Linked DNA regions of Cricetulus griseus. The protein of the gene in region 1 interacts with the protein of each later gene in a biochemical or structural test. Links are inferred from orthologs where the notes say so. Each region holds a gene or a part of one and is shown in the gene's direction. Other genes may lie near its edges. The genes, in order: Hif1a, Usp20 and Naa10.

Region 1 (10,960 bases):
ACATCTTGGTCCTCTGGGAAAGTAGTAAGTACTCTTAACCACTAACTCATCTCTCCAGAACCCCACCCTCAAAATGTTCTTTAAAAAAAATACCTAAATATCTTACATCTTAACTGCCAAGCCAGCTCTCCAGCTCTTCCCCTACCCCTACTTACTTTAAAATAACTGTAATACATAGATTAGATTGTAGATGGTGTCATGGGAAAAACTTTTTTTTTTTTTATTTTCAAAGATACACATCTATCAAAGTTTGTCAGGTCAAACTCAATTACTGACCTATATTTCTTTTTGCCCCTTTAAAAAAAAAAAAAAAGATAACTGCTTGTTTTCTTGCTCATGCACAGGTGCTTCACTGCACAGGCCATATTCATGTATATGATACCAACAGTAACCAACCTCAGTGTGGGTACAAGAAACCGCCCATGACATGCTTGGTGCTGATTTGTGAACCCATTCCTCATCCATCAAATATTGAAATTCCTTTAGATAGCAAGACTTTTCTCAGTCGACACAGCCTGGATATGAAATTTTCTTACTGTGATGAAAGGTAAATTAATTCTATTTTATACTTTTAAATTTTAAATTTCTCTGTAGCCTTTTTACACTCACTGTAGTAAAAACTTAATGGTACACTGCATGTGTTCATGAAATTAAATATAAAGATGCATCCTGGAACACAAAAAAAACATAAGATTAGCTTTGTAAATTCATGCATCTATTAAACATTGACTGTGTACTATAAATATTCTGCCAGGTGTTCTGCAAATCTATTAAGATGAGATTCTCAGATGGATCTGGTGGCACACTCCTGTAATCTCAGCAACTGGGAGATGGGCAGGAGGAAAGGGAGTTGAAAGTAAGCTGTCTCACAAAAATATGTTTCAGGATAGGGATGTAGGTCAGATGGATCACTTGTCCAAGCATTCAAAAGGTATTGAAACAACCACAAAAATCATGACGTTCTTTTGCTTTAGGGAATCTTGAGAATGTAAATTTCAAAGACCTAAAGCTTATATAGAGTAGGCAACAAAATTTTGGTCTTTAACCTATATGTTCTCCTTGAGCACCTTCAACTCCACCCACAGTTCCTGTCCCCATTTCCCAAATCTGTTACTACTTGTGTGTAACTGCCAACTTGATATTCCTGTCTAGATCGTTTTCTGTATAATGAAGTAAATACTTGTGTTCCTGAACTGAACCACTGCTGTTCCCAAACAGCAGCATGACAGATTGCTACTCCTCTTGTGATGCCTAGTGTTGTTGACATAGCACTGTTGACTCTAACTTTTACCACACATTACACTTAGTTGGTCTCTAAGTATTGTAAATGCATTGTTCATTCAACTGTCTCTCCTCATTGTTCTATCTACCTTTGTGCTCCTGTCATGAATTCTTTACTTCATTACCTTTGGCCTGAGTTGTTCCCACAAACTTGTGAGCTTCATTTCTACCAACAGATCTGTGCCCTTTTACTCTTACACCCATTGTGCCCAAAGAGGGCTTCCCAAGGTAATGATCAGATTATGCCAATTTCTTATTAGAAATGCATCAGTTGTTTCTTGTAGGATTGTAGATGGGAAGATTTTTATTTATCAAAAGATGCTGTACATTCTGGATGTGGTGGTTTATGTCTGTGATCTCAAAACACTTGGGAGGCTGAGACAGGGAAGTCACCAAAAGTTCAAAGCCAGCCTGGACTACATACGGACTCCAGTCTAGTCAGGACTTTGTAGTCTGTCTGTGTCTCAAAAAAAAGAAAGAAAGAAAAAGTGTGCAATTAAATCTAAATATAATAAAATGACAAGCAAGTTATTTACCAGAAGATTGCCCACAGGTTAGGTTTTCTCATTGTGTTTTCATGTCTAGAATTACACCAGAAACATGAATGTTTAATTAAAAAGTATTTCATTATGTTGGAATTTTATTTACGTGTGTAAAACTATGTAAGAGCAATTCAAATAATTTTTAGGGCTAGATGCACCTCCACACTCAGCGGTAGCATGTGTGAGTGCATGTATGTGGGTTCATGTGGGTCACAGCACAAAGGTAGAGGACAGAGGACAGTTTGTGGGAGTTCATTCTCACCTTCCACCACGTGGGTTCCAGAAACTGAATTCACGCTGCCAAGTTTGGTAGCAGGTGCCTTACCTGATGGCCCATTTTAATGGTCCTGGATGCTAGAAATGTGATGTAAAGGTTTTCTTAAAATTGGGCAAATTTTTTTCTGTGTCTTGATTCTGAGGTGGTATAGAGCAAGAAATTCTTAGCAAACATTTAAAACTGAAAACTAGTACAAATCACCAGCTCCAAATCACCAGCACCAAGATGGGGTAGGGAGGACCTTTGTCTAGCATTGTGAGCCCCCATATCAGGGTTCTCAACCAGTGAGTCATGTCCCTTTTGACAGTTGACAGGCCCTTTCACAGGGGGCCCAAGACCATTGGAAAACACAGATGTTTACATTATGATTCAGAACAGTAGCAAAATTAGTTATAAAGTAACAATGAAAATAATTTTATGATTGGGGGTCACCACAACATGAGGGATTGTGTTAGAGAGTCTCAGCAGTAGGAAGGTTGAGAATCACTGCTCTAGATTTAATCCCTACTACCATTCTGGGATGAAGGAGAAAACACATATTTTTAAAGTATATTTTATTTATCTTTGTAATGCTGCCATCTAGTGTTGGTGTATTTTGGTTATCCCTTTTTGAAGAGTCAAAGTTTGATTTATGCTTCAATAAATCTGCTTTGTTGGTTTTAGAGTAAATGGCAGATCTTAAACTGTAACAGCTAAGCTATATTATTTAACATACTGTTATGAACAAAGATACCTTCCTTATGCCCATTCTGTAATTAGGTGTTTGCTTTTTAGACATATGAGTATCTTTTACCTGCACCTTGGTTTTTTTGTTTGTTGGCTTTTTTTAAGTCCTCTGGAATCTAAACTGAGAAGTGTCAACACTTGGTTCATGTTTGTTCCCAGAAAGACTTCAGTGAAAAATGTTTGTAATTGGTTTAATGTGACGAGGACAGACTTGTCTTTCTCATAAAATGGGTCCTCATGGTTTCCAGGCTGATACCCAGGGACCAGGAGGCTCCCTGAATCCGTTTTCAGCCCTTTTTCTTTTAGATGCCGTTCTTTCATGTGAAATCCTCTTAATTTTAGAAAATTAATATTTACTTTCCATTTAGTATGGATGTCCTTGGCTTAATAGTGAAATTTTATAGTTGATATTAAAGTGAGGCCTTGCCACAGGCCTAAAAATAGGGTAAAGATTTTCACTGAATGAAAAATAAACTGCTATAGATTTATACTGTATTTTAAGATAATTGTGACTGTCTTTGGAACTTTTGTCATTTCATTTAGCATCATTAAGATTTACTAATATACCCTGCTTTGATACCAACAGTGTGTATAATGAAATGTGTTTTAAAAAATAGGTCATGAGTTTGGGTAAAAGGGATAAGTCAGATATCAGGGACTGATCTAAGTGACTTTATACTAAGTACAGAATTTGGGGTTTTTTTGTTTGGTTTGTTTTGCCGGGGGGGGGGGGGGGGGATGGGGTGTTTTTTGGTTTTGTTGTTTGGTTTTTTGTTTGTTTTCTGAGACAGGGTATCTCTGTATAGCCCTGATGTCCAGGAACTCTGTCAGTAAACCAGGCTGGCCTCAAGTTCACAGAGATCCACCTGTTTCTGCTTCCAGAGTGCTGGGATTAAAGGAATCCACTGCCCAGCCAAAGTATAGAATAGTTAAGTGTGAGTTCTAAACTTATTAAGCAAAAGATAATCTTTTTTTTTTTTAAACAGAATTACTGAGTTGATGGGTTATGAGCCAGAAGAACTTTTGGGACGCTCAATTTATGAATATTATCATGCTTTGGACTCTGATCATCTGACCAAAACTCATCATGACAGTAAGTACAGTAGAGGAACTCAAGGAAATAGTGTCATTGCTTAAGTCCTGCAGTCTGTACTGTACCTCTACTTTCTAGTTAAAATTACCACCCAGTCTCCTTAGACAAGCATCCTACAGCCCCTTCATAAGATGTCTTGATAATGAAATTATTGTTTTGTTACAAATATTAGCAAAAAGTAAAGTCATTTAATAATAAATACATAAAGTATCCCATAAAAGTCAAATATTATAGATTATCTAGCCTACGTACATATGTACTGAAATCAGTGGTTGGTCAATAGGAGGTAGTCACAAAGCATTTGTTCATGAACTAGTGAGTAGGATTAGTATACACATGTGATAACTGACACCCTTGACATATAGGAGGTTTCTGAATTTTACTCAAATAAATCTATGATACCAAACTAAGTTAAACTTCATAATTCCTCACTTGCCTATTTAATCTGGACCTAAACATGACTTCCCAATATGATTGAGGGTACTGAGTTGAGTATCATTGAATTAGTGTAATTTGCCTTGAACTACAGAGTATGCCTAAGTTGTAGTCAGAGCATGGATACTCACAACGGCATCATCATGATTGATTTACTACATTCTCTTAAGTCAGTAATTAATTTAGACTGCATGAATTGACAGAAGGCTATAGTATGACATGAACTTATATATTCAAATGTTCTGAGTATAATTTTTTACAGTGATTGGTTCTCTGGTGCTTAAAAAAACTGGTACCATTTTCTTTCTTTTTTTTTTTCTTAAAAAGAATTTATTTAACTATTTTATGTGCATTGATGTGAGATCTCCTGGAACTGGAGTTATAGACAGTTGTAAACTGCCATGTAGGTGCTGGGAATTGAACTCAGGACTTCTGGAAGAACAGCCAGTGCTTTTAACCACAGAGCCACCTGGCCAGCCCCTTTTTTTATTTTTGAGACAGGGTTTCTATGTAGCTTTGTAGACCAGGCTGGCCTCGAACTCACAGAGATCTGCTTGCCTCTGCCTCCTGAGTGCTGAGACTAAAGAGGTGCACCACCACTACCCAGCTCCATTTTCTTAAATGTACCCTGTGATCAGTCTCTAGTCTGACACTTTCACCATAAGTCATTAAAGAAACTGCAGACACCTTGTCCTTCACTCCTGGCTTAAGATAGGAAATTTCTTTGGGGTTTGTTTTTAGGTATGTTTGGCCTTTCTCATTTTAAACAGTCACAACTATTTATTTAAGTATATCTCCCTTGAAACAAACAAACAAACCAACAGCAATGGTTCAGTCAAGCACAGCAGCACCAGCCTTTACCCCCAGCACTGGGGAGGCAGAGGCAGGCAGATCTCTGGGTGTGAGGCCAACCTGGTCTACATAAGGAGTTTCAGGACAGCCAAGGCTACATAGAGAGACCCTGGCCTGGAAAAAAAAAAAGCAAAAAACAAAACCCAACAGTCTACATTCATCACTTTTTTTTTTTATTGAAAATTGAGTTGTTTTCTTTGCAATCCTTTATTATCCCTAGTGTTTACTAAAGGACAAGTCACCACAGGACAGTACAGGATGCTTGCCAAAAGAGGTGGATATGTCTGGGTTGAAACTCAAGCAACTGTCATATATAATACAAAGAACTCTCAGCCACAGTGCATTGTGTGTGTGAACTACGTTGTGAGGTAAGATTGTGAAGAGACACTTTCTACATTTATGTGCCTTTATTAAGAAGATATAAAATGATAAAAACTGAGTTTTATTTTTACTTCTTCTACTGGATTATGATTTATACTCTGGCCCAACTTTCCAAACCAGCTATTCCAGTGATCCACAAAAGAGTATCATTTTTTTTTTTTAATCAGTCTGTGGATCTGTTTTCCTGGTAGTTGTGTTTTAAGCAGCTGCTATCCTGGGGCCAAAAGATTCTGTGAAAGTTAAATGGCTGTCTTGTAGGAGGGCACTGTGACAGGCTGTGTGTTGTGACACAGGGCTTTTGTTACAGTCATGAATGCTATAAGTTATTTCAGCAAGCTGTGCCCCATTTAGTCACTCTTCACATGACCAAAACATTCTAATTTAATTGCCAGGCAGAGTTCTCTAATGTGGATAGCTCATTTTCCTATGTTCCATACCCTTCCCCTTCTTTTTTCCTGTCTCACTGTGAGTAGGCTTGGCTGGCCTAGAACTCACTGTAGACCAGACCAGCCTTGAATTTTCAGCTGCCCTATGTAGGTTTGCAGGGCTGTGCCAGCATTCTCCAGCATAACTTTCACGGATGCTACCAAAATCCAGGTCACCTGTCTTGTGAAGACTTTGGGCCATTGTTTTTGTTCTTACAACTTCTAGTTTCTATTGTTTCTTTGGGGGGATATTTTTGATGCTAGGATCAAACTCCATGCCTTACCACTTCTAAGCCCAAAGAATCATCTTAGTTTAAAGAGTTCTTTTGTGGTTTTTTTGCCTTTATATAAAACTATTCTTCCTCTCCCAGTCTGCCTCATGATTGTTACTTGAGCCCAAATTCCAGCTTGTTCACCTTTCTATGAAACATCCTTTCCCCATCTTAGGAGTGATCACAGTGTATTGTGATCTTATCCATTTCACATTGGATATAAACTACTTGAAGGCAAGGGTTGTATACATCAGTCTTTGTATTCTTAGTTGGTTTCATAAATTGAACATGTAATGGGTTAGCTAAAAGTACGCTGATGCCAGACATGAAGCTGGGTGGTTGTTCATCATCCCTTTCCCTCTTCTTTCCTATCTTATGAATGACATCACTATATTATTTCCACCAAGAAAGTATGGCGCCTCTCATAAAGACTATGGTCATTAGCATTATATTGTAAGATCATCTGTAGATGATGTCTCATGTGTTAATGCTGACGAGTAATTTTGTGGCCTTTTTATTGTGTGCATTGCACAAATGCCTTACTCTGCTTGTGTTTCGAGTGTTCTTGTCACCACCCCTATTCTCAAAGAATGTTTCAATTCAAATAAGTTGAATATTTTAATTAGTGAATTTTATTTAAATTTTTATTTTCATATTGGTGATGTTTTTATTGTTTTTGGGGGGTGGGGGTAGTTCAAGACATCGAACTCACAGAGATCCACCTGCCTCTGCTTTCTGAGTGCTGGGACTAAAGGCATGTGCCACCACCGCCCGGCTTCATATTGGTGTTCTAAAATAATACACATTTCTCAATAGTAGAACGCTTTCCTAGTGTGCAAAGGTCTTGGGCTCAATCATCAGCACTGGGAGGGAAAAGAAATGTGGCAAATATGCATGAGAGATTATTCATCTCAAGGAATGTTGAGATGCTTTTTTTATATAAAGCATAATTGAAGAGACAAGGTTGTTTCACAGTCCCCCTTATTATCATCATGTCAAGTGCTAATTTACAAATACTAATCTCTCCTTTTTTGACAGTGGTATTATTCAGCACGACTTGATTTTCTCCCTTCAACAAACAGAATGTGTCCTCAAACCAGTTGAATCTTCAGATATGAAAATGACTCAGCTGTTCACCAAAGTTGAATCAGACGATACAAGCTGTCTCTTTGATAAGCTTAAGAAAGAACCTGATGCTCTAACCCTGCTGGCCCCAGCTGCTGGGGACACAATCATATCTCTGGATTTTGGCAGCGATGGTGGGTGCTTAATTAGTCTGTCCACTTCTTCAGCTGTGTCTGCTGCTTCCTGTCCCAATTCAGCTGCACTTTCTTGGCTTACGTATTTGCATGATGCTTACACTTTTTTTTAATAGTATTTCAAAGGTATTGTTTAATGTATTTGTTTCTGAAATTTCATAGCCTTCCTACTTTTATTTTTGTGTTCTGTTGGGAATTGCAGTTCAGAGTATCCTGAAGGTACCCTCTAATACCCTCCCTGCCACCCAGCTGCACCATTCAGTAGAGTTAAAATGCAATAGGTGTAATTAGGTAAATGCTAAACGATTAACAAAGCAATCATGCCATAAAGCAAAGATGAAAATGAAAAATGTTACTTCAAATTAGGCTAAGTTTTAGTTTATAACGAGATTGGAGATACACAACCTAGGAGTTGTCAGTGGTGGACAAAAAAGATAACTCAGACTTAATGATCATGCTGTTATGTCCATAAACTTTCCAGTTAAAGAGAACTGAGTGAATCACAAATCTTTTATAAAAGGTAAAAAATATCTATGACTGTTAAAATCCTGATGTTCTTTAGACTGAAGAAATGTTTCCTCTACAGACACGGAAACTGAAGACCAACAACTCGAAGATGTTCCACTATATAATGATGTAATGTTCCCCTCATCTAATGAAAAAATCACAAATATAAATCTGGCAATGTCTCCGTTACCTGCCCCTGAAACTCCAAAGCCACTTCGAAGTAGTGCTGATCCTGCACTGAATCAAGAAGTTGCATTAAAATTAGAGCCAAGTCCAGAGTCACTGGAACTTTCTTTTACCATGCCCCAAATTCAAGATCAGCCAGCAAGTCCTTCTGATGGAAGCACTAGACAAAGTTCACCTGAGGTGAGTACCATGATGAAAGAAAAGATAAAGGATAAATATGCCTGATATTGATAGTTCTCAAAACCCAACAGAAGTGGTTTTTTAATATCTAGGTTGGACCAGGGTTGAAAGTGTCACAAACAACTGTTTCCAAATCCAGAACAATTCTGTTTCAGAGCTCTCTGCTATTAACACTGTGCTTGGGAGCAGGAGAGCTTAGATTTGAACTTTGCAACTGGGTTAGTGAAGCACAAATAAATCTGGATTCTATATTAAACTGTTAGGAATTAAAGTTGGCAGGTGTAAGTTAAGCAATATGGTATCTCAAACCCTTTTGGAGAATATACTCTTTGCTTTGATTTGCCCAGCATGTAAGTATTTGATTCATTTTGTCATTGATCTAATGAAAAATTAGGAAAAGCAAACTGTTATACCAAGCTACAGTATTTTTTATTAAAATTCTTACCTTTAACTCCTAACATGATGAATATAAGATTCCAGTGAAAATATCTCGTTAACTGGATAATTAGGTGCCATTGTAGAACTTAAATTGTTTGGTGAATTTTATTCTTTAGAATAAACAAATTTTGGGGAGATGTTGGTTGGTTGGTTTTGTTTTGCTTTTTTTGAGACAGGGTCTTACTATGTAACCCTTTTTGGCTTGGAGCTCACTTTGTAGACCATGATGGCCTTGAATTTACAGATTCTTCTGCCTTTGCCTCCCCTTGTGCTGGGATTAGAGGTGTGCTCCACCACAGCCTACTAAACAAATCTTTCAATCATAGTTTTTAGTTAGATAAAGCTTTATAATATCTATGTGCTTGAAACTTATTAACAAGAAAACCTAAGGACTTCTTCAGGAAAAAGTAAATACTCCTAACTCCTTTCACAGCCTAACAGTCCCAGTGAATATTGTTTTGATGTGGATAGCGATATGGTCAATGTATTCAAGTTGGAACTGGTCGAAAAGCTGTTTGCTGAAGACACAGAAGCAAAGAATCCATTTTCAACTCAGGTGTGTTGACTCACTTATTTTGTATTTTATTAATTTTTAGCCCATAGTGACTGGGTTTAACTTGTTTTTCTTTTACAAGATGTGGTCATTATAAAAACTCTTCTATTTATTTATTGTTTGAAAGGATACTGACTTAGATTTGGAGATGCTGGCCCCCTATATCCCGATGGATGATGATTTCCAGTTGCGCTCCTTTGATCAGTTGTCACCATTAGAGAGCAGTTCCTCAAGCCCTCCAAGTGTGAGCACAGTGACAGTGTTCCAGCAGACCCAGCTACAGAAACCTACCATTACTGCCGCTGCTGCCAAGACTGCCACCACCACAACCACCACCGCCACTGATGAATTAAAAACAGTGACGAAGGACAATATAGAAGACATTAAAATACTGATTGCATCTCCATCTTCTACCCATGTACCTCAAGAAACGACAGCTGCTACAGCATCAACATACAGTGCTCCTCCTCACAGTCGGACAGCCTCACCAGACAGAGCAGGAAAGAGAGTCAGAGATCAGACAGAGAAAGCCCATCCAAGGAGCCCTAATGTATCTGTCACTTTGAGTCAAAGGTATTTGGAACATATTTGTTCTGTCATGTTCTAGTACATAGGTGACGTTAAATGACTTCTAAATATATAGCCATCTTTCTGACATGTGCTCTAAGGAACATCATAAAGTTACCTTATAACTTCTCCCACACAATCCTATCAGTTGTCCAAGTATAGAAGGTCAGAAGGATGTCTTCCAACACCTCTAAAACTAAGTCCGGCCGGTAAGCAAAAAAATGTCAGGTGTTTATACCTGAAGAAAAGCCCTTCAGCTAAATGGTTCTTTCCCATCCCAGACTGAAAACTGGTGGTGTTTAGTCCTCACTTGTAAATATGGATATTTGCAGGCCTTCTTTTTAAAATCTTGCATATAATTTCTAGCCTTAAACTTACTGTTATTCTTCATTGCATATTTTTGTGTTATCATTATTATTATAAAGAAAATAAGCTTTGTTTAGATCTACCAAAAGTTCTAGAATGACTTACAATATTGTTTCTATGGGATGAAACAATGGTTGAGCAAATATTTAGAATTTCTGTATATAATATGTAATGGTATTTGATGTGTTTTAAATTTGAAGCTGTACCTACAGGGAAGTAATTTTCACTAATTAGTGAGTGAAAGAAAAATGATTCCTTCTATTCTGTGCCTAGACAGAGCAAGCTGCCTCTGATAGCAGGCGAAAGGACGCTGCTGTAACTGGGTGGATCTTTGTTCCCCCTTCGTCTGAAGTGCTAGGACAGGCTGCCATTTTCTTAAGCTAGGAAAAATGCTTGGGGCTTTAGATGAATTCAGTATTTTCATTTGGGTATAGTAATATATGCCTTTAGTCCAGGCTCTCAGGCACCTGAGTCAGGAGAATTACAAGCTTAAAACCAAAGATGAGTGGTGGTATACACACACACCACATAAGTAGATAAACAGTACAACCAGAGATGATATTTATATGATAGACTGAATTATATTTCATGAACATAACATACATAAAAATTTTAAACCA
Region 2 (11,060 bases), on another chromosome or scaffold:
CTAAGGCCCAGCAACAGTGTGTTTGTGCCCAGTACCCTCCACTTACTTATCTTTGCCCCTCTCCTTCAGCTTCTTCATGTCCACCATGCCACCTGTCGTCATTTGGAAAGGGTCATCCTGCGGAAAGCACACTGCTTAGAGGAAGCATCTAGAATAGTAGCATCAGAGTTATTGTGATCATCTGTGAGTGTACAGGTGCACGTACACATATGTATGCATACCCGTGAAGGTCAGAGGTCAACGTTGTAGGTGTGTCCTCAATCATTCTCCACCTTATTTTTTGTTGTTGTTGTTTTTTGGGGGGTTTTGTTTTGTTTTGTTTTTTGTTAGACAGGGTTTCTCTGTGGCTTTGGAGGCTGTCCTGGAACTAGGTCTTGTAGACCAGGCTGGTCTCTCACTCTGACTCCCAAGTGCTGAGATTAAAGGCATATGCCATCACCACCCAGCTTTTCTTACTTTGTATGTGACCATGTTTGTTAGTTTTGTGTGTGGACAGTGTATATACATGTTTGTGTGTATGCATGTGTGGTTGTGGAGGCAAGAGCCCAAAGTCAGGCATCTGCCTCAATCACTTTCCACCTTAAATATCTCAGACAGAGAACTTACTGATTTGGGTAGACTCACTGGCCAGTCAGCTCCAGGGCTCCAACTGTCTCTACTCCAAACCTTGCTAGGGTTACAGATGGATGCCATCATGTATAGCTTTTGTGCTGGGTACTAGGGGCCTGACTCAGGTCCCCAAACTTGTGCAGCAAGAACTTCAGCACTTTACCCACAAAGCCATTCCCCCAACTTATACTTTGAGAGAGGGTATCTTAGCTTTCTTATTCAGCACATCGTCCTAATCTGCCTCCCCAGTGCTCAGATTATAGGGATGTGTCACCATTCTCAGTTTTTCATGTGGGTGCCAGGAATCCAAACTTGGACCCTTGTGCTTGCACAGGAAGCACTCTGACTAGCCATCTCCCTGGCAGCATGGTTATACATTAGAGACACACTCACAGAAGAACAGCCCCAGAGAGGAGACAACACTCACCACCAGAGTAGTCTCCTCTTGAACCTTCTCTCCCACCAGCAGGGCAGCAGCACTGAGCAAAAGAAAACAGACAAAGAAATGACACAGAGACAAGAAGGAAATCAATCAATATGCTGGCTAGTTTGTTTTGTCAACTGAAACAAGCCAGAGTCACCTGGGAAGAGGAAACTTCAATTGAGAAAATGCCTCTATCATGTTGGCCTGTAGGCAAGCCTGAGGAGTATTTTCTTACTTGTGATTGGTGTGGGAGGGCCATTGTGTGCAGGGCTCCCTTCCCCCTGGGTATGTGGTCTTGTGTTGTATAAGACAGCTGAATGTAAACCTGGGAAGCAAGCCAGTAAGCAGTGCTCCTCCATGCTCTCTGCTACAGTTCCTGCCTCTGGGTTCCTGCCTTGTCTTCCCCCAATAACTGAATGTAATCAGAACCTTTCCTCTGCAAGTGGTTTTGTGTCATGGTCACAGCATAGGAAGCAATCTGGGACAATCAGGTTTGCAGGCTAGAGCACTGATGGAAGGGCATGCCCAAGAGTAGGTAGGAAAGAACACAGTGCTCAGCACACTGAGTGGGAGGGTGAAAGGCAAAGGAAGCAGCTGTGCATGTTCCTGCATAGCCATTTGATTTCATTTTAGCCTGGAAATCACAGTATAATTTGGGTTTTCCAGACAGGGTTTCTCTGTGTGGCTTTGGAGCCCATCCTGGGACTGGCTTTGTAGACCAGGCAGTCCTCAAACTCACAGAGATCTGACTGCCTCTGCCTCCCAGAGCACTGGGATTAAAGGTGCACATCACCACTGCCCGGCTCCCACAAAGTTCTTAAATATAGGGTCTATATTTAATTAAATATAGGGTCTATATAACCCAGGTTGCCCTCAAACTCCCAGGTTAGGATTAGAGGCATGCACCAACAACCACCACAGAAATCATTTATTTCTTAATTATACTTCTCTAATTTTTCTAAACTCTTATCTGTCAACACGTTGTCATTCACAATTCATCCGTGCAATTAAAAACTCCAATTAGGGCTGGAGAGATGGCTCAGAGATTAAAAGTACTGGCTGCTCTTCCACAGGTCCTGAGTTCAATTCCCAGCAACCACATGGTGGCTCATAACCATCTGCAATGGTGTGCAAGTATACATGCAGGCAGAACACTGTATAAGTAATAAATAAAATCTTGAAAAACAAAGCAAAACAAAAAAAACAACTCCAATTAGCAACAGGGTGGTGGTGATGGCTCATGCCTTTAATCCCAGCACTCAGGAGGCAGAGGCAGGCGGATCTCTGTGAGCTCGAGGCCAGCCTAGTCTACAGAGCAAGTTCCAGGACAGGCTCCAAAGCAATACAGAGAAACCCTGTCTGGAAAAACCAAAAAGCAATTAGTGACCTGGAGTAGACTCTGATACCACCAGGCTCAGGGCATGTGGCAGTTACACATTTGAAAAAAAACTGGTCCCCTCTTCGACCAGTGCAAGGTGTATGTCTAGAGAAAGAACTATGTCGAAGGAGATATTTGTAACTGAGACCCTAGCTGGAAGTATCTGTGTCATCAATAAATGACGCCACCCCCACCCCCATGGTACCCACCTCACCCCGTTTGGCCTCTTCCTTAAGTTCTGCACCTCTCGGGTTTCTTCAAGTTTTAACCTGGGGGGAAATGAATAAAAAGCAATGCACAGGCTGAGAGATCCTCTGCGGAACTCAAAGCTTAACTCAGTTCCGGGGACATCCGTGTCTCTCGGCCGAGTCCCTGGCACTGTGGATCACCGGCAGTCAGACCCATGCGACCCCGGAGCACCTTTCCGAGCTTCGGGACCGGGGAAATGTGGCCTTATCAGCAGGAGCCTCTGAAAGACAACAACCCTGGCTCCCGGTCAGTGGTGTCAGCGCAGTGCCGGCCGGTAGCCAGTCCCAAGGCTGTTTCCCTCTTCCTGGGCCGTGGAGGTCATGCCAAACACGTACCGAACCTCCTCTGATTCCTGCTCATCTTCCTCCGACTCCGAGTCAGCCCGCCGCCGGCGGAAAGTCTTCCCAGTGATCCGCATAGCGGCACCAGATCTTAGGAGCGGCGTTACCTGCCGCGTAGTGCCGGGAACCTCTTTCTCTTCCGGCGCGCAGAAGTGTCGTCAGAGGGCCGGCTGCATGCAGACCCGCCTCCGGGTGTCCAGGCCGCGCCCCAGCAGCATAGCCACCAGCTCCCAACTCCAAAAAGCAAGGGCAGGTACAGCCGCGTGGCCACGCCCCAGCGCCGAGACTGTGCCCTCCACCAGCAAGACAGTCTTCGAACCACGTGGCCACGCCCCAGCAGCACGGCCACTCCCCCTACTCCCAGCATGCATGGGCACTCAGTACTCGCACGGCCACGCCCCCAGCACGCACGGTCCCGCCCCCTAGTAGGCAGCGCCATGTGACCCCGCCCCGTCCTTGGCATAGGCTCTCTCGATTGGACAGCTGACGGTAGGGAGGCGGGGCACGACAGGCAGAGCCACAAGACTCTGCGCGGCGTCGCGGTGGGCGCGCTTGACTGACAGGCGGCGCGGTTGCGACGGCAGGTGAGTTCCGGACGGCTGATGCCTGGTGCGGTGGGCTGGGCCGCTAGAGCAGGGACGATCGCGCCGCCGCTGCGAACTGGGGAGGCCTGGCTTTGCGGGGCAGCCGCGATCTGGGGAGAGGTCCCCGCCGCCCACCCTCCCATCGACCGGCTCCTGTGTCCGCCCCAAGTCCCCACGGCCCTGGCTTCTCCTGAGCAGGCCGCACGTCGCTCGGAAGGCCAGCGCGAGGCCACTCGGGCTCTGGGCCTCAGATGTGCAAATTTATTTCTCACGGACAAAAGCTGAGCGCCTTGGCGGGGGTGAATATCAGTCCCGATACCAACTCCCCCGTACCAGGGTGGTCTGCTGCTACTGGTCCCTAGGAGGGATGCCACTGACGTTCAGAGGCCTCTCCAAGGGTGTGAAGCCGGGGACTGCCCTTCGAGAGCTCGGGGTGTCTCCTTTGGCCTGGAGGACTCGCTCTGTCCTACACACCTTCCACCGCCAAGATGTTGCGAGAGTAGTTAGCTTTCAAAGGTATCCATAAACACTTAGGAGATGGATAAGTGCATGCGTAATGGCTCACATGGGACTTATAGGGACTCCTTAATTACTAGTTTCCTCTGGAGCAAAGCACTTCTTAACTGTGGCAGGGCTAAGCATTCTCTCCTAAAAGTCTCCGGTCTAATCTCACGAAGTAGATGCAGTTGGGTCTGTCTTCCAACTGAGGAAGTTAGAGAAGGCTGAGGCTTAGAGAAGTAACCTGTGCTTCAAGTTACACAGCTGGGAAGGGGAGCTCAGGTGGGGGCATAGTTTTCCCAGCTGTGGGATTTGCATCAGGGACAGCGGGCCTCTATGGCATTCCAGTTCATGGGCTGGGGCGGGGGGGGGGGGCGGGAGACTGATGGAGACTTTTTTCTGGAAAACTATTCTAAAGCAGGGAGGCATGTCTGCCATGCTTTGGCTTTTCTCCAGAACAATTTTCTCTGAGGTTGTCGTTCCTCTTAAACTAGGACAAAGAAGACTGGGATGTCTTGAAACAGCTTTTTTGCATTAATGAAAAATACATTAAGTATCGAAGTCTTGACCTCCCAGCAAGGCTGTTTCAGCCATTGTTAAATGTGTATGGCACTCACTGGACGCCATGTCTCTGTTGGCTGAAAAAGAGATTCCGTGGGAACTGCTGCACAAACCCAGGGAATTGGATTACAACTCTCACAGGCTCAGGGGTGTTTTTGTTTTTTAGATGTGTTCTGCCTACATGTATTCCTGCAGGTCAGAAGAGGGCACCAGATTTCATTACAGATAGTTGTGAGCCATCATGTGGTTGCTGGGAATTGAACCCAGGACCTCTGGAAGACCAGCTAGTGTTCTTAATCACAGAGCCATCTCTCCAGCTCCAGAGGTAGTTCTTAATTTCCCTGCCTGGCCATGCCCTGCCCCGTATCCCCTAGGGTACTGGGCCATGCTGGTACTGGCAAGGAAAGAGTCAGATGGTCGGGAGCATTTTCATACAGTCCTTATTTGAAGACAGAGAGGGACATCTGATACAAAGCCACCCTCGTCCTTGAAGCCGGAGTGCCAGGTGACATCCAATTCCTGGGCTGTGGCAGATGGAGTTGATTCTTGTTTAATTCAAGTGCTGATTAGAGTGTGGCAGCCAGAAATTGACCTAGGTGCCTGGGTGGAGAGACTTCAGCTCCTGTGAGTCATGTTCTTAAAAGTGAGACTGCTTCTGAGAGGGAACCTTCAGGAAAGTGAGGGGTTTTCCTCTTCTAGTTCAAAGATGAGTCTCCAGTTTTAGTTTGGCTTGGACGTTGGGAATGGTGTGGATTTCTCTGTGGAGCTACATGGATGCCCAAGGAGCAGTCATATCTCGATGGTCCCTGCCATAGTAAGCATTCAAGAAATGCTTGTTTGAGCCAGGTGGTGGAGGTGGACACCTTTGATCCCAGTACTCAGGGCAGAGGCAGGCAACCTGGTCTACAGAGAAATTTCCTGGACAGCCAGGACTACACAGAGAAACCCTGTCTCAAAAAAACCAAAAGATGAAGAAAAGGAAAGAAAAGAGAAAGAAAAAAAACTTGTTTGAAGGGGACTGGGGATGCGGCTCAGTTGGTAGAATTCTTGCCTAATGTGCATATGATGCACCCTGGGTCCAACCTCCAGCATATAAACCTGGCAAACTGTTTCATGCCTGTAGTCCCAACCCTTGGTTGGGTCAGAAGTTCAGGGTCATACTCAGCTACATAGAGAGTTGAGGCTAGCTGACTTAAGTCTGGCCCACATTTGACTATCTCAACGTTAAGAAGTCATCTTGGAGCCGGGCGTTGGTGGTGCACGCCTTTAATCCCAGCACTCGGGAGGCAGAGGCAGGCGGATCTCTGTGAGTTCGAGACCAGCCTGGTCTACAAGAGCTAGTTCCAGGACAGCCTCCAACCAAAGCCACAGAGAAACCCTGTCTCGAAAAACCAAAAAAAAAAAAAAAAAAAAAAAAAAAAAAAAAAAAAAAAGAAGTCATCTTGGAAAAAAAAAGTGAGGTGTAGTGACACACTCCTTTAATCCCACCACTTGGGAGGCAGAGGCAGATGGATTTCTGAGTTTGAGGCCAGCTTGGTCCACTGAGTGAGTTCTAGGCTAGCCAGGCTACCTCCTTGCTCCTTCCTTCCAAGCCGCTCCTGAGCCGTCCTCCAGAGAGCAATTCACTGCTCCACACAGCTTCAAGGAGTGCAGAACAGGGCCTGAGCCACCTCTGCACGCTGCTTTTAGGGGTCAATGAAAAGGAAAGGGCGTAGGTTTGGGGCTCTCCTAGGCTGGCACGATTTTTTCTTTTTTTTTTTTAGAAAAACAGAACAGCCTTGCCTTGCTGTGTAGCCGTGTCTAGTGCTTTGAGGTGAAAATTGTCCCTGTGTGCTGCTGGCTGGCACATTTGGGATTGTTGGAAGCCACAGTTCATTTAGATCATAGGCTGCAGGGCAGGTCCCCTGAGTTTGGGTCCTGGCTTTGGGGCTCCAGAGCTTTGTGACTCAGCCAGTTACCCCTGTGCTCAAGGCTCACTTTCCCCACCTCTGGTGATGGATGGGTTGCATCCTGGCCTCCCTGAGCAGTTGTGAGGGTCCTGTGAGGGTACCTAACCTTGGGATAGTTGAAGGTGTGGAGCTGTTAGCAGAGCTCCTAAGGAGGGTCAGTGATGAGCCGGGAGACCTGGAGGTGTGGGAAGTTGGGCTAGTCCAGGCAGGGGGTGGGGATGGATGCCACAGGCCTCTATGTGAAGAACCAAAGGGATGGGGGACTTAGGGAAGTAAGACTGGGATAGAGAGGTGGGCAGTGTCTGGAATTGGGGGAGTGAGAAAAGGAAGGTGCAGGTGTCAGCAAGGGGTGTGACGTGCAGGGAAGGGTCTCTGGTTGACTAGTGAGAGGCTAGCTAGTGGTGGTTGTGGGAACCTGTGTGGGCGGAAGCTCGGCAGTGCCCCCTTCGGATCCCAAAGGACCAGCGACTCCCTGGGAGTCGGAAGAATATTACCAGAAACTCTGGGGAAAGTGATGAGTAACGGGCACCTGAAGCTGCCAGGCCTTTGGAGTGAGTGCGCAGCCGCGCTGCATCTCCTAGACCCCGCCCCCATCCGGCCCCTGAGGGTGGGGCTTCTCCCATTGCTAGCTCCCTGGGAAGGTGCAAGAGCCTGTCCCTGTAGGTTCTGCCCCTTAAAGTCTCAGGTCTCACAGGGCAGGAGAGGTGGGTTCTTTGCCCTCCTCCATACTCTCCAGCTCCAAGACATGGGGGCGTGGGCTAGTGGGTCCCTGAAGGCGATTGCTAGGACCAGCTGCTCTTCAGGGGGCCTGTACCCAGCCAGCATCCTGTACTTTAATGGATCTTCCCTTTCCCTTTCAGCCTTTATGAGAGGCCTGCTGGCACACCTGACCTGCTCCCTTTCAGCTGTGTCCCTTCCTCACTGTGTGACCTCAGGCAGGTGGCTTTGCTCTTCTGTCAGAAACGAAGCAACCAGAGAGGGTTGCTTGAGTAATACGATGAGCCCTCATTCTCCTCCCTTCACCGATTATTGGCGTTTTTCCACTTTATTTTCCATATCTGCATTTCCTAATGTCACTGTTGCTGATTCATGGGAAAGTAAGCAGACGGGTCAAGCAGCCATCAGGGAGTAAGGAAGGGTGCCATCGTGCACAGCCAGAGAATGATTTTCTCTTGCAAAACCTTTACAATAACCAGTCTCCAAGGCTGCTCTGACAACAGGCAACAGGCAGGGATGCTTAAGCAACAAAAATGGTCTCAAGTTCTGGAGTCTGGAGTTCTGGTTTTAGGCTTCAGACAGCACCTTCTCATTGTACTCATGTGGCCTTGCTGTGTGACAGCCTCCATTGCTTGTGTTTGAGTCTCAGAAGCATAAGTCCCACCTGGGCCACCACAGAGACCTGATTTTTACTTAATTATTTATCCAAAGTCCTTACTTCCAAATACCCATATATACTAGGGTGATGGTGCTTAGGAGGTGAATGCAGGGATTTTGGGGGTAGGGTGGGACAGTTGTTACCATGATATCAGTGGTGGGAGGTCCTTAGTCACTGTCATGCTTGCTTAGCAAGCATGTAGAACTGAATTCAGTCATCAGGGTTCATGGGTATGTGGTGTGTGTCTGTAATCCCTGCACTGGAGGGTAAAGATCGGCAGAACTCTGGGGGTCACTGGCCAGTCAGTCTAGCTTAATCAGTGAGCTTCAGGTTCTGTGAGAGAAGTGACACCCAAGGTTGGCCTCCGGCTTCCACACACACACACAAGTAGATATGTGCACCCTCACCCCCACTCCCAGGTAAATTCTTAAAAATTACTATTATCTAAGGTCATGTGCTAGCTTGCTAATTGTTCAGTGATTCCCCCTTAATTTAAAGAGAAGAGTACCACTCTTTCTTTCCCTTCCTCAGTTTCTCTTCTCCTTTCTCTAAGGCTTGTTTGTTTTGTTTGTTTGTTTGTGTAGGTAGCCCTGGCTGTCGTGGAACTTACTCTGTAGACCAGGCTGGCCCAAAGTCAACATAGAGTCACCTGCCTCTGCCCCCCTGAGTTGGGGATTAATGTGTTGTGTGGTTTTTTGTTTTGTTTTTTTTTCTGAGACAGGGTTTCTCTGGATTGTTTTGGAGGCTGTCCTGGAACTTGTTCTGTAGACCAGGCTGGCCTCGAACTCATAGAGATCCACCTGCCTCTGCCTCCCGAGTGCTGGGATTAAAGGTGTACACCATCAACACCTGGCGATTAATGTGTTTTTAAAAGGTTTATTTTTATTAGTTGTTTGGTTGTTTGGAGACAGGTTCTCACTATGTATCCTGACTGGCTAGAATTCATTTCTGTAGACCAAACTGGCCTCATGATCAGAGGTTTCACCTGCCTTTGCCCTCCCCCAAGCCCTGAGGGATTAAAGGCATATGCCACAATACCTGCCTTATTTATATTATTTATTTATTCATTTCTGTGGGTGCATGTACATATGCATGTTTGCATCTGTCTGGAGTTGACACTTTTGGAGAAGTAGGTGTGGTGTTCCCCTGGAGCTGGAGTGATAGGTGGCTGTGAGCCCACATTATGAGTGTTGGATGCAGGGATTTTGGGGGTAGAAACTGAACTCAGGCCCTCTGAAAAAGCAGTAAGTGTTCTTAATGGCTGAGTCATATCTCCAGCTCCTTTCCCTCTTTTTCTTGAGTTTTAATTAATTTTTGAAGCAGGGTCTCACTGTGTGTCTTTGGCTGGCCTGGAACTTGCTGTGTAGACCAGTCTGGCCTTGAACTTGAAGAGATCCACCTGCCTCTGCCTCCCAAGTTCTGGGGATGTACCACTATGCCTAGTTTACACAGTGCTGGGACTCAAACCCAGAGCTTCATACATGCCAGGCAAGCACTGAGCCAGCTGAGCCATATCCTCAGCCCTCTTGGTTCCAGTTTTTTGTTTTATTTTATTTTTTTAGAAAAGGCCCTTCTCTGTAGCCTGGGCAAATCTGGAACTCAAAATCCTCCTGCCTCAGCAGCCTGAGTGTTCAGGTGATAGGGTATGTACCATCACAGGTGGGGTTACTCTCTTATTTAAACTGCCTTGTGTACAACTCTGGGTGGCATGCCCATGCTCCCTATGGTATTTGTCAGCTGATTTAAAGTGAGGTCTGTGTGGACCAATTCCAACTGTTTGCAAAGCTGACTGCCATCCAACCAGCAGGGTGGTTGGCCATGGACAAACTCAGTGACATGCTACCTGTCACTTCCTGTGAGGAATGGGGTAATGAGGATTCTGAGGCTTGCTAGCCGTGGGGCTTTTTTTTTTTTTTTTTTTTTTTCCCCTCTCAAGTTGTAGGAACTGGACTCCAGTTGCTCTTGTGATTTAAAAGTAGCTCTGACCCTGGGTGTGTGGATGCTTATCTGCAGTCCCAGCACGTAAGTCCCCGGGGCAGGAATATCACAAGTTTGAAGCCAGCCTGGACTATACAGTGAATTCTAGACCAGCCTGGGCTACATAGTGAGCCTTTGTATGAAAAACAAACTAAAACAAAATTGGGTCTGTCATTGTCATTCTGTTCTGGGCACTAAGATCATGACAAGACTGGCCTTCCTCAGCATATCCCTCTGGAATGCTGGCATATGTGACAGAGACACTAAAACCCCACCTCTGCCCAAAATAGCACTGGGCCAGTGCCAGCAGGCACTTGGCCTCTGAACAGACCAACAAAACCTGGCTTCAAGCAGGTTTTGGAATTTAGAACTTTGAACCCTGTTGTTGTCACGTGGCCATTTTAAAAATACCTTCTAACTGCCCCCTCCCTCTTTGAACTGTCCACATCCGGGAGACTTCGGCCCACCTAAGAAGCAGGGGCAGTGGCAACCCTGATCAACGGAGTGGTATTGTAACCCCAGTGATGGAGGATTTGGAGGGTCAGAGCAGTGTGGGCTTTGGAAAGGCTGGAAAGGTGATCTGAGGGACTCAGTGGCATGCATGGAGGGGCCAGGCCTTCTTATCCAGTGAGGCCCATCTGCCAGTTCTATACCCATCCTGGAAGGAGGGTATCACTGTCCATGAGGAACACAAAGCCTGTGGAAGCCCCAGACAGCCCACTATTTGTGACCTCCCCCAGATAGTGTGGGATGTTTTCAACCAAGAGTAATTTTAAGGTAGATTCTGTACGAAGTGTTATGTTTACCCCCAGGTGCAGACCACCTCAACAGCCGTCACTGTCAACAGAATGTACGTGCTGGCCTCCTCCTGCATGTGCCATTGACCCAGGTAGGTCCTGCCTCCTCCTCTAAGGTGTACCTCAAAATATTGATGGGGGAGCTGGCTCTCCTAGAAGGCCATGGGATTATACTCACAGGTCACTTTTGCTGATGATATATGGCTCTTATGCTGGGCAGTTGCCATTTGAGACAGAAGGGTGGTGAAGCCACATTGGTTTTAAGATGCTCAGGATAAAAGTGAAGTGGGGGTGTTGCTTTTTAAAAGTCAGAGAACA
Region 3 (10,311 bases), on another chromosome or scaffold:
AGAATAGTCTCCAAAGCCACAGAGAAACCCTGTCTTGAACCACCCCCACCCGAAAAAAAAAATCTAAAGATAAATTAAAATTTCACAACTTACATGTCACAATTTAAAGGGAACATTTTGAAGGTAAACTTCTAAGAATGCCTTCTAAGAAAGGGTTCTACTTAACTATTTTATCGGTGAGAACAAAATGGAAAGGGCCTAGGATAAGGACCTGGGCTTCATTTGGGGGAACTAAAAAAAAAAAAAAAGCCTCAGTGAGACAGGTATGGGATGGGTTAGCCTATCTAACCAGCTCAGCTGCTGTTCCCCCTTATTTGAAGCATCAGATCCACTGGACAGGGTCAGAAGTGAGAGAGATACATTCAGAACCCATGGTGAAAATAGGCAGAAGACGATGTTGTCCTGAAACTTACAGAAATGTGTCAGCCTCTACGTCCTGAGGGCTGGGACTAAAAGCTTTCCCCATCACACAGGGTTAGAGGAAAGTCTGACACCCTGTTATAAAAACCACAACATGCAAGGGCATGAGTTACGTGTCTCTGTTTGATAAGGCCTGTGGAGTAGAGGACATGTTACAAAGTTTGTTGGCAAGTCAATCCAGGATTCTTTGTTCTTTTTGCCTTTTAATATAGATTAGGTAAACGTGTGTTTTTAAGTATTCAATTCAAAGTGTTAGATAACACACTACAATCAAACATAGAGCACCTGTTCTCTCAGCGTTTCAGCACATTGCCTGCAGCATCTTCCCATTGGGTTACAAGCTGAGAAAACCAACTGCCTATCATCCTCAGCTTTCATCTTTTCCCAGGACATGGTCTCTTAAAAGTAATGAAAACCACTATCAAAATAAAGTTTTACTGACTTGAGCTAAAAAAAAAAAAGTAATGAAATCATGGCATTTGAACTCTGACCAGTGGTGGTAGTACAAAGGGGACAGCGAGGGCCCCTTCCTCAGCCCGTGACACTCTGGTGTGTCCTGCCAGACACTAGCTGTCATTGTCTCCTTATTCTAGTTTCGTGATCCTGAGTTCGGGGAATGGTTCGGCTATCTGAACCGAGAGGGAAAGGTGACCCTCACCATCAAGAGAGGTCCTTTTAAAGGTGAGCAAGGAACGGGACGAGACTGCAAAGGTTTGTGGCACCTGGCTCCCTAGGACCTCCTAACCCCAGCATCCATTCCCCTCACAAGCTGCTTCCACGTGCCGCAGTGCCTGGCCATGTGCGAGTAGATTCTGGAAGCCCTGCTCTGCCGCCTCCGGCCTGCTCCCGTCATGTCGTCGCTCACTGTCCCCACCCACAGAGGCTCAAAATAAATCTAACCCTGCTCCATCTGCTTGTGTGCGCACCTCTGTGGGCCGGGCGGGAGGGTACAGCTACTCCCCACGATGCCCGCGTTACCCAGCCTTCATAACGGCCTTGAAGGCGCCATTTTTGCACTGATCCACCGCTCCCATTAACTCTCGGTGCGCTCACTGGCTGTGCGGTTCGGAAGCGGATCCCGTACCACACACTTCCGCTGCAGGTGGGGCGGGCCGGCCCGCCTCTTCCGTTACCTTCCTCTGGGAGCCTGGCCCCAGCCCCTATAGTCCGTGCGGTTCTTCTGAGTGGCCGCTGAGCGTGCACGTTCATAACCCACGAGGACCTGCGAGCTCCGCCGCCGTGATGAATATCCGCAATGCTAGGGTGAGGTGATGGGGAGCTAGCCTGTCCACAACCCATGGGCGCCTTGCCGGGTGACCGCGTGCACATGCTAACGAGGGACCTGGTGCTGTGGTCCTCCACGTCTGCGGCCGCTGGACCTTAAGGCTGTTGCAACCTGCCCTGGACATTTCGCGATTATACTATCCCGCGTTTGCCTAATGTCAGGGCTCCATCGAGTGGGCTCGCGACCTCCAGGCGGTACTGCTCGGTCCTTGAGTTGGCGCGTTTTGCATGGCTCATGGAAACCAGGCTTGTGCAAAGTCATATAGTCACAACCCTGACCTGCCCGGGGAAGGGGAGGCCCAGAGATTAACAGAGAACAGGGGCCCCGCATTCGTGAGGCCCTTCTTAGTCACTGCAGTCCTGGACTAACCGTGTCCCGCTGTCATGCAGCCCGAGGACCTGATGAACATGCAGCACTGCAACCTCCTCTGCCTGCCCGAGAACTACCAGATGAAGTACTATTTCTATCATGGCCTCTCTTGGCCCCAGGTGGGCAGGTTTTGCGTTTTGTAAGGGTGTAAGGGACAACAGAAGGGAATCATGGATCTGAGTGGGCCAAAAGCACTGGGCAGTGAGATATACAGTGCCTTGGTACAGCGAAGCCATGGCTGATGGGGAAGCCTGGCAAAGGAAACAGTGCAAGGGATTGTAAGCTAGACACAGGTGGGAAATGGGATTCCCACCTGTGTCTGTGCTTTTCCAAGAGAGGGCACAACTGTGGAGTAGGGAATCTGGGACCCTTGCATTCCAGGCCACCAGCTGTCACAACTGGACAATTTTTGCTGCTTCCCACTATCCTACACACAGCAGGAGGCTGGCAGTGAGCTCTAGCCTGTTGCCTGCTCTGCCTGACATCCTTTTCCTCTCTGTTACCAGCTCTCTTACATTGCTGAGGATGAGAATGGGAAGATTGTGGGGTACGTCTTGGCCAAAATGTGAGTCACCAAGGAGGAAGAAAAGAGCCTAATTCTAAGACTGGGGGTTGAGGAGCTGAGGGAAAAGCTTTGGACAAGGGAATGGGAAGCCAACACCATCCACATCTGGTGAACATGCTGTGGATTAGTTTTAGAGGGGTTCTCACTCTTTTGCCAGATTGGGCTCAAACTTGCATCAGTCTTCATGCTGAGCCTCCTGAATGCTGGGATTAACTATGCCCAGCTTGCTGTGAATTGTTTTTTAATTAACAGCTTGTTGGTAGGGTGTTTCTAAATTGACAGAAAGATTGAGCAGAAAGTACTGAGTATTTCCACACACCCCCTCCTCCACATTTGTTCTCTCACTACCATGTATGGTACACTTATTAGAAGTGAGAAACCAACACAGATTTTGTTTAGATTGATGTTTTCATTGTTGGGCTTCTGTGTGTCACACACCCTCTGAGTTGGGCAAATGAAGAGTGTCTATCCACCTTTAGAGTATTCCATCCTTCCCACAACCTCCAACAACAAGGTTGGTCACCTTTTAAGAAGGCTGCAGAGTTGAACTAGGAACTTATAGCTCTTTCAAGCTGCCTCCTTTCATTCAATGCTTTGCATTCAGCAATACACTGCTACACTTTTTGTGTCTTGGCAGCTGACTTTTGTTGTTGTCAATCACAGGCTAATATTCTGTTGACACTGCACATATCTACTGGGTGTAGCATGGGGGCTTTGAGGAGGGCATGATTGGTTATTCTGATTCAGAAGTTCCTAGTTCTCCTCTGCCTGGATCTGGGGTGCTGTAGGGTCCATCACGATGTCTGTGCACTTGATGTGTACAGGTGTCCGGTACATACTGGACCTGTACCAGGCTCCTTTCTAGCTTTCTCCTCTAGGGAAGAGGACCCAGATGACGTGCCCCATGGACATATCACCTCACTGGTGAGTAGAGCTACTGAGGGTTTGGCAGAGGTGGACTGGAGGTAGCCTCCAAGGTCCCACTAGTACCCATCCTTCTCTCAGGCTGTGAAGCGTTCCCACCGGCGCCTTGGGCTGGCTCAGAAGCTGATGGATCAGGCCTCTCGAGCCATGATAGAGAATTTCAATGCCAAATATGTCTCCCTACATGTCAGAAAGAGGTGAAAGACAAGCTTGGGGAAAGGACAATGCTGGGGAGTGGGGAGGAAGAGGTACCCCATTGATAGGGGTTCTGGGGTTTACTGCCTTCAGAAGAAGATGGTAAGTAGCATTAGTGGGAAAGGAAGACTGGGAAGAAAGGCAGGGCCTGGATATAGCCTGCCAACATGCCTGGTCAAGTTTCTGAAGCTCAGTAGTGCCTTATTCCCCTGCAGTAACCGGGCTGCCCTGCATCTCTATTCCAACACCCTCAACTTTCAGTAAGTAGATCAAGATTTTTTGTTGTTGTTGTTGTTTTGTTTTTAGAGACAGGGTTTCTTTGTGTAACTGTCCTGGCTATCCTGTAATTCACTCTGTAGACCTGGCTGGCCTTGAACTCACAAAGATCTGCCTACCTCCCAAGTGCTGGGATTAAAGGCATGTGCCACTACCTCCTGGCAGATCCAGATTTTTTAAGTGGCGTGATCCATCCTTTTAGCTAAGGTGAGCTAAGAAAGGGGTGGAGGAACTTCAGTCATTGCTAGGGGTCCTTCTGTATACTCAGTGGCTGTTCACTGACAAGCTAACATGGAGAAGGCACCTGGTTTCTGTGTGTGTGGTAGAGGAGGTGTCCTGCACATCTTGCTGGATAGAGGAAGTATGGTTTGTTACTAAGTGCTAGTGAGGCTGGTGAAAGGAATTATAGTAAAGAACACACAAGGCAGCTGGGCGTTGGTGGCGCACGCCTTTAATCCCAGCACTCGGGAGGCAGAGGCAGGAGGATCTCTGTGAGTTCAAAGCCAGCTTGGTCTACAGAGTGAGTGCCAGGACACGCTCCTAAACTACACAGAGAAACCCTGTCTCGAAAGAAAAAAAAAGAACATACAAAGCTTCTTAGTGCTGGTCTAAGAGTAAAGAGAGATGATTAGGGCATGAGCAAGGGTTGAGAAGTGACTGGCACCAGGAAGCATTGGGTGAGAGGAGATGAAAGGGGATGGCAGAGAAAAAGGGCCATGAACAAAAGTAATGAGGGACCTATAGCTCTGGATGTCCTGATAATTGATGGCAGGTCTACTCAGGACACAGGCATCTCCATGAGACTAGGATTGGAGAAAGGAACTGGCAGTGCCTACTGCCACTTGAAAGTGGGGCTGGAGTGAACTGATTGGAGGACCCATTGAGTCACACTAGGCTTTGATGGGGTAGAGTGAAGATGGGACTATTGGGACAGGACAGTGGCCTTCAGGCTTTTCTGAGTTCACTACCTAGATTCATGGAGATCTTTGACCTAGTTAAGTATGCCTTTGGTGGGGACTGCTTCACATGCAAAGTGAGCAATTCCCAGCTAGGTGTGGTAGTACATGCCTCTTAATCTCCGCATTCAGAAGGCACAGGACTGTGGGTTAAGGGCCTGGCATAGGGAGTTCCAAGTCAGTCTCAGCCACACAGCAGACCCTGTCTCAAAAGGGGGGTCCTAAGGAGATAGCTTAATTGTAAGAACCTGAGTTTGATTCCTGGCACACATGTATAAAAGCCACATACAGTGCCCTGTACCTATTATCTTAGTGCTGAGGAGGTTAAGACAAGAGAATCCCTGGGTACACTAACCAGTCAGCCTAATTGAATGTTCAAGGTCCAGATTCAGTGAGAGACCCTATTTTGAAAAACATAAAGTGGCCAGGCGTTGGTTCCGCACGCCTTTAATTCCAGCACTCAGGAGGCAGAGGCAGGAGGATGTCTGTGAATTTGAGACCAGCCTGGTCTCCAGAGCGAGTGCCAGGACAGCCAGGGCTACACAGAAAAACCCTGTCTCAAAAAAAAAAAGTGGGAAGCAATTGAAGAAGATACCCAACATATATCTCTGGCCTACACATGTACACATGAGGATGTGTATACACACAGCAGTTCTCTTGTCTTTAATGTCTTAAGAATTAAGGGCTTCACTCAAAAGACACAAGTCCTTGCTATTCAGGCTAGGGACAGAGAGCAGTGGCAAGTTTAGGGATGGGAAGTATCCTGGATGCTACATTGCTGCTTGGCTTTACTGAAGAGAACAGAGAAAGCCATCATGGCTGTTGGAAAAGAGTCCATTCAATGAAAAATTTAAAAAAATCAATTCAGGCTGGCTTTTGCCTCCCCTCTGCAGAGGGAGATGACAACCACCCTAGTAGCCTAAGAACCAGGTGTGTCTCCATCCTACCCCCAGGATCAGTGAAGTGGAGCCCAAATACTATGCAGATGGCGAAGATGCGTATGCCATGAAGAGGGACCTTACACAGATGGCTGATGAGGTAAGAGTTCAGCCAGGCCAGGGCAGCAATTCCAGCAGTAGAGGGGATTCCAAACTTGGGAAAGGGGGCTACTTAAGAGCTGTGACTCCAGGGGCAGTGGTGGCTGGAGGGAAGACTAAGGTTGATTGTCAGCACTTGTAGCTATAGTGGTAGGAGTCAGAGTCCCCCTTTCCCTCACTTCCTAAGCCTACAAGTAGGGGCATGGCCTTGGTTGATCATAGAGGAGGCCATGAGATGTTCTTGGGGGAAGAAGCCTGCAGGTGGAATAGGAGAGACAGTAGGAAGAGTTTTCTTTCTATCTCGGGACTGGGATTACTAGGGCCAGGGGCAGTCATGGCCAGCCTGTTCAGATCTAGGACCAATCTGGGCTGGGAAGAAAGGGTTCCTGACCAAGCCTCCTGGGGCTAGGGCAATTCATGCTGTGTCTTGGGAGCTCCCCAGAAGCCCACTTGAGGGCAGCAGGACCCTTGACATTTTACAGATGAGGAAACAGGCTTGGGGCAGAGCTACCATTGAACTGCATCTCTACCCAGTCCTATTTCCTGCCTTGGCCCTACTGCCTCTCATTGTATCCTTCCCCACAGCCAGCCCCAGGGTCTGGCTCCTCTTGTCTCCTGTCTGGAGACTTAGGCCCTATCTCTTTCAACCCGCTTCCCTCTGGGCTCCCGTCGGCAGCTGAGGCGGCACCTGGAGCTGAAAGAAAAGGGCAGACACATGGTGCTGGCAGCCACGGAGAACAAGGCGGAGGGCAAAGGCAACATGCTTCTGAGCTCGGGAGAGGCCTGTCGTGAGAAGAGTCTGGCTGCTGAGGACAGTGCTGGGGACAGCAAGGACCTCAGCGAGGTCAGCGAGACCACAGAGAGCACAGATGTCAAAGACAGCTCAGAGGCCTCTGACTCTGCCTCCTAGAGCCTGCCCCACCTGGTTCAAGCCTCCCCCCATGTGCTTTTACAATAAATGTGGTCCTGTGGCCTTGGGGAATTTGTGAATGTGCCAGCTCCTTCATGGTGGGGATATCATCTTCACAAACCAGAGCCCACTTAGCTCACAAATCATTTGGCGAATCTGGCTACCTTCAGCAACTGAGTAGGGTTCAGCTTAGGTGCCCTATTCTGTCACCTTCCTGGCCTGCAGGCCCCATTGACTTCCTTACTAATTTTCCAGGGCTGAACTAAATGATTCCTTGGGGCTTTCTAGTCAGCCTCGGGTTTCAGAGGCATCTTTCCCACCTTGATGCTCTTGGCTGTGCTGCTTCGACCTCTTAGGTCCCACTCTTAGCCCTTACTTTTAGAGAGGCTGTATCTCCTTGCCACTACACCCAGTTTATACAGTGCTTGAGATCTAACTCAGGGCCTCTTGCCCATTAGACAAGCACTCTAGGAACGGAACCACACTCCTAGCCTTAACTGTTGGCCTCAAAGTCCTGATCCTTTAAGGGGTTCTTCAAATTCTGCCCTTCACCATTACCAGGCTAATCTCTTTTGTTTACTCAACTTCTTGAGACAAATTGTCCTTAGCCCAAACTGGCCTGGAACTCATACCCCAGCTGGCCTCAAACTTGTGGTAATCCTCCTGCCTCAGGCTACAACGTGCTGGGATTACAAGTGCGAGCCATCCAGCCAGTTCCCCCATTAATATTTTGTATTTGTTGCTATGCTGAGACATTTCTGCACATTGTTAGCTAGTCTTTGGCTACCATTAGGATAGCCTCAATGTCTTCTAACATTTCTGTGACTTCTGGTAAGTGCATAAAGTCTAATACAGCAATTTATCTTTTTATGTTGAATATAAACCCTCAGCCCCCCCCCCCATTTGGTTTTTTGAGACAGGGTTTCTCTGTGTAACAGACCTGACTCTCCTGGGACTCACTCTGTAGGCCAGGCTGTCCTCGAACTCACAGAGATCTGCTTGCCTCTGCCTCCTGAGTGCTGGAATTAAAGGCTGTGTGCCCTCACCACTTGGCTTTTCCCCTCTTTTCTTTCACAAGGTCTCAAGTATTTCAGGGTGGCCACGAACGAATTTGCTATGTAGCTAAATCTGGCCTTTAATCCCAGTCCTCGGGAGGCTGAGGCAGGCGGATTTCTGAGTTCCATGACAGGTTCCAAAGCTACAGAGAAACCCTGTCTCGAAAAAACAAAACAACAACAAAAAAAACCCAAAACGTAAGTCTCTTGTTTTAGTCTTCCAAGTACTGGGGTTTCAGGTGTGAGCCACCACTCCAGGCTTTTTTTTTTCTCCCTGTCTCCCTCCCTCCCTCCCTCTCTCTCCCTCCGCCGTCCCCCTTCCCTATTTCCCTCCCCTCCCTCCTCCTCCTCCCCCTCCCTCCCTTCCTCCCTCCCTTCCTCCCTCAAGCTAAAAAGGCAAAGAGTCCACGTCTCAAACGCTTTGTCACAGTGTCACCCTTGCTTTAACACTCTCCTAAACGTGTTTTCTGGATTCTAGACCATCACTGATGACTGCTAGGTCCTAGGTGTGCTCTTCTTGGGCCGCTCACCTAACTGACAACTGAGCTGTCACTATACTAACAATTTCCCTTCTCAAGCCGCCCATCGCTAGGTTGGATAGTTTGTCTTGGAGCTTAGTTCTTTATTTGGTTGTAGAAGTGATCCATTAAAACCGAGAAAGCGGATAGAGAGCAGAACCTGAGAAGAAACTTGCGCCTGCATATGGCTGTTCCTCTACCCCCCCCCCCCTTGTGTAGTTCAAGCGAAACTGAGTTCTGATTGGCTACAGTCACGTACTTCCTTTTGTACGAATCAAGTCAGCGTTTCCTCTCGCCTACCGTGTTGACTTCACTCTGGGTTCACAAACAAGGTGACGTTCTTAGTTCCCAGGCTCTGATTGGTTCTATAGCACCAGAATAAACGCCTCGCAACAGAAAGGGCAGACATGCGCACCGGCTTGGTTGCGCCCCCAGAGTTGGTGGGCGGGAGCACGAGAATGTTCCTAAGGCACTTACGGAAGCCCACCCCTCTGCCTTGGTTGCTTGGGTGTGATTGGCGGCCAGTTGAAGCTGTGCTGTCTGCTCCGCCCCTAGTTGGCTAGGTTTCCTGGACGGACGTGGGAGCTGTGGAGGGGGAAACCGCAGGCCCACACTAGGGCCTAGCACTTCCCCTGCTTCAGCGCTGCCTTACGTGCCTTGTGAGCTGAGGCTGGAAGGCATAGGATAAGGTGGCTGGGCTTGACTCCAGGGACTCTTCTTCAGGATGTACCCTCACTGCCTAATGATTTTTTCTCTCAGGAGCCCTACGTCTCTCATCTCCCTCTGTCCAGAGTAGCCAATTAGTCTGATCACATCAGCCTTGTGGTCATTCTCCAGGACCAAGTGCACATTCTTCCACGTATTTAAAAAGGTCTTGAGGAGCTGGAGAGATGGCTCGTCAGTTAAGAGCACTGACTATTCTTCCAGAGGTCCTGAGTTCAATTCCCAGCAACCACATGGCTGCCCACAACTGTAACTCCTGTTCCAGGGGATTCGACACCTTAACTTACACAGAGAAAACATCAATACACTTAAGATAAAACTTTAAAAAAATTTCTTTTATCACCCCGGACACAGACACAGTCAGCTTGGAGTGTTTTTGTTTGTTTGTTTGTTGTTGGGTTTCTTTGTATTTTTTTTAAGACAGGGTTTCTCTGTGTAGCCTTGGGGGCTGTCCTGGAACTTGCTCTTGTAGACCAGGCTGGCCTCGAACTCACAAGAGATCTGCCTGCCTCTGCCTCCTGAATGCAGTGATTTAATGTGTGTGACAACACTGGCAGCTCTGAGTGTTTTAACTTTTCTATAGCTTCTGGTAAGTGCAAAAAGTCAAATATATTGACCATTATGGTTTCATGTTCAGTATAAACACCTGGATGCCAGACTGGCCTGCACAGTGAGACACTGTCACAAATAAATAATCCTGTAGATCTACCCCTTTAAAACTCTATCACTCTTTGTAAATATTTATTTTTATTTTTGTATCTCTCTGTCTCTCCTCTCTCTCTCTCTCTCTCTCTCTCTCTCTCTCTCTCTCTCTCTCTCTCTCTCCCTGTGTTTGTGTGTGTGTGTGGGGGGGGGGTCCCTCGGAGTACAGAAGTGGGTGTTAGATACCCTAGAAGTGAAATTATATAGTTGTCAGCTGCCTTTGGATTCTAAGAATTCTGTCTTCTGGAAGAGCTCTTAACCACTATGGAACCATCTCCATTGCCTGTCTTGTTGGGTTTTGTTTCTGCTTGTTTTCACAGTCTCCATATTAGTCCCGATCTCTGTCTCAGGATGAGCATCACCTCACCTAGGTTAT

The links.
Region 2: of the proteins of Hif1a (region 1) and Usp20, one has a biochemical effect on the other in vitro, tested with the Homo sapiens proteins (2 studies listed by BioGRID and IntAct, with this or other methods). The link is inferred for Cricetulus griseus from reciprocal best matches to the Homo sapiens genes HIF1A and USP20.
Region 3: the proteins of Hif1a (region 1) and Naa10 form a complex in vitro, tested with the Homo sapiens proteins (4 studies listed by BioGRID and IntAct, with this or other methods). The link is inferred for Cricetulus griseus from reciprocal best matches to the Homo sapiens genes HIF1A and NAA10.

What each region holds. Positions count from the first base shown.
Region 1 is NC_048598.1:129,458,635-129,469,594, reverse strand, and holds part of Hif1a (hypoxia-inducible factor 1-alpha), read left to right. Parts: intron 1-344; coding exon 345-547; intron 548-3,812; coding exon 3,813-3,919; intron 3,920-5,426; coding exon 5,427-5,574; intron 5,575-7,322; coding exon 7,323-7,543; intron 7,544-8,129; coding exon 8,130-8,416; intron 8,417-9,287; coding exon 9,288-9,410; intron 9,411-9,534; coding exon 9,535-9,980; intron 9,981-10,960.
Region 2 is NC_048599.1:142,694,766-142,705,825, forward strand, and holds the start of Usp20 (ubiquitin carboxyl-terminal hydrolase 20), read left to right. Parts: upstream 1-3,464; 5' UTR 3,465-3,585; intron 3,586-3,889; exon of another isoform or gene 3,890-4,101; intron 4,102-10,757; 5' UTR 10,758-10,834; intron 10,835-11,060. Other genes in the region: CUNH9orf78 (telomere length and silencing protein 1 homolog), read right to left, coding at 47-117, 1,037-1,088, 2,621-2,680, 2,996-3,078.
Region 3 is NC_048604.1:1,827,598-1,837,908, forward strand, and holds Naa10 (N-alpha-acetyltransferase 10), read left to right. Parts: upstream 1-1,662; coding exon 1,663-1,683; intron 1,684-2,094; coding exon 2,095-2,193; intron 2,194-2,580; coding exon 2,581-2,639; intron 2,640-3,517; coding exon 3,518-3,563; intron 3,564-3,644; coding exon 3,645-3,760; intron 3,761-3,973; coding exon 3,974-4,018; intron 4,019-5,943; coding exon 5,944-6,028; intron 6,029-6,612; coding exon of another isoform or gene 6,613-6,703; coding exon 6,704-6,937; 3' UTR 6,938-7,013; downstream 7,014-10,311. UniProt on the Homo sapiens protein: Catalytic subunit of N-terminal acetyltransferase complexes which display alpha (N-terminal) acetyltransferase activity. Acetylates amino termini that are devoid of initiator methionine.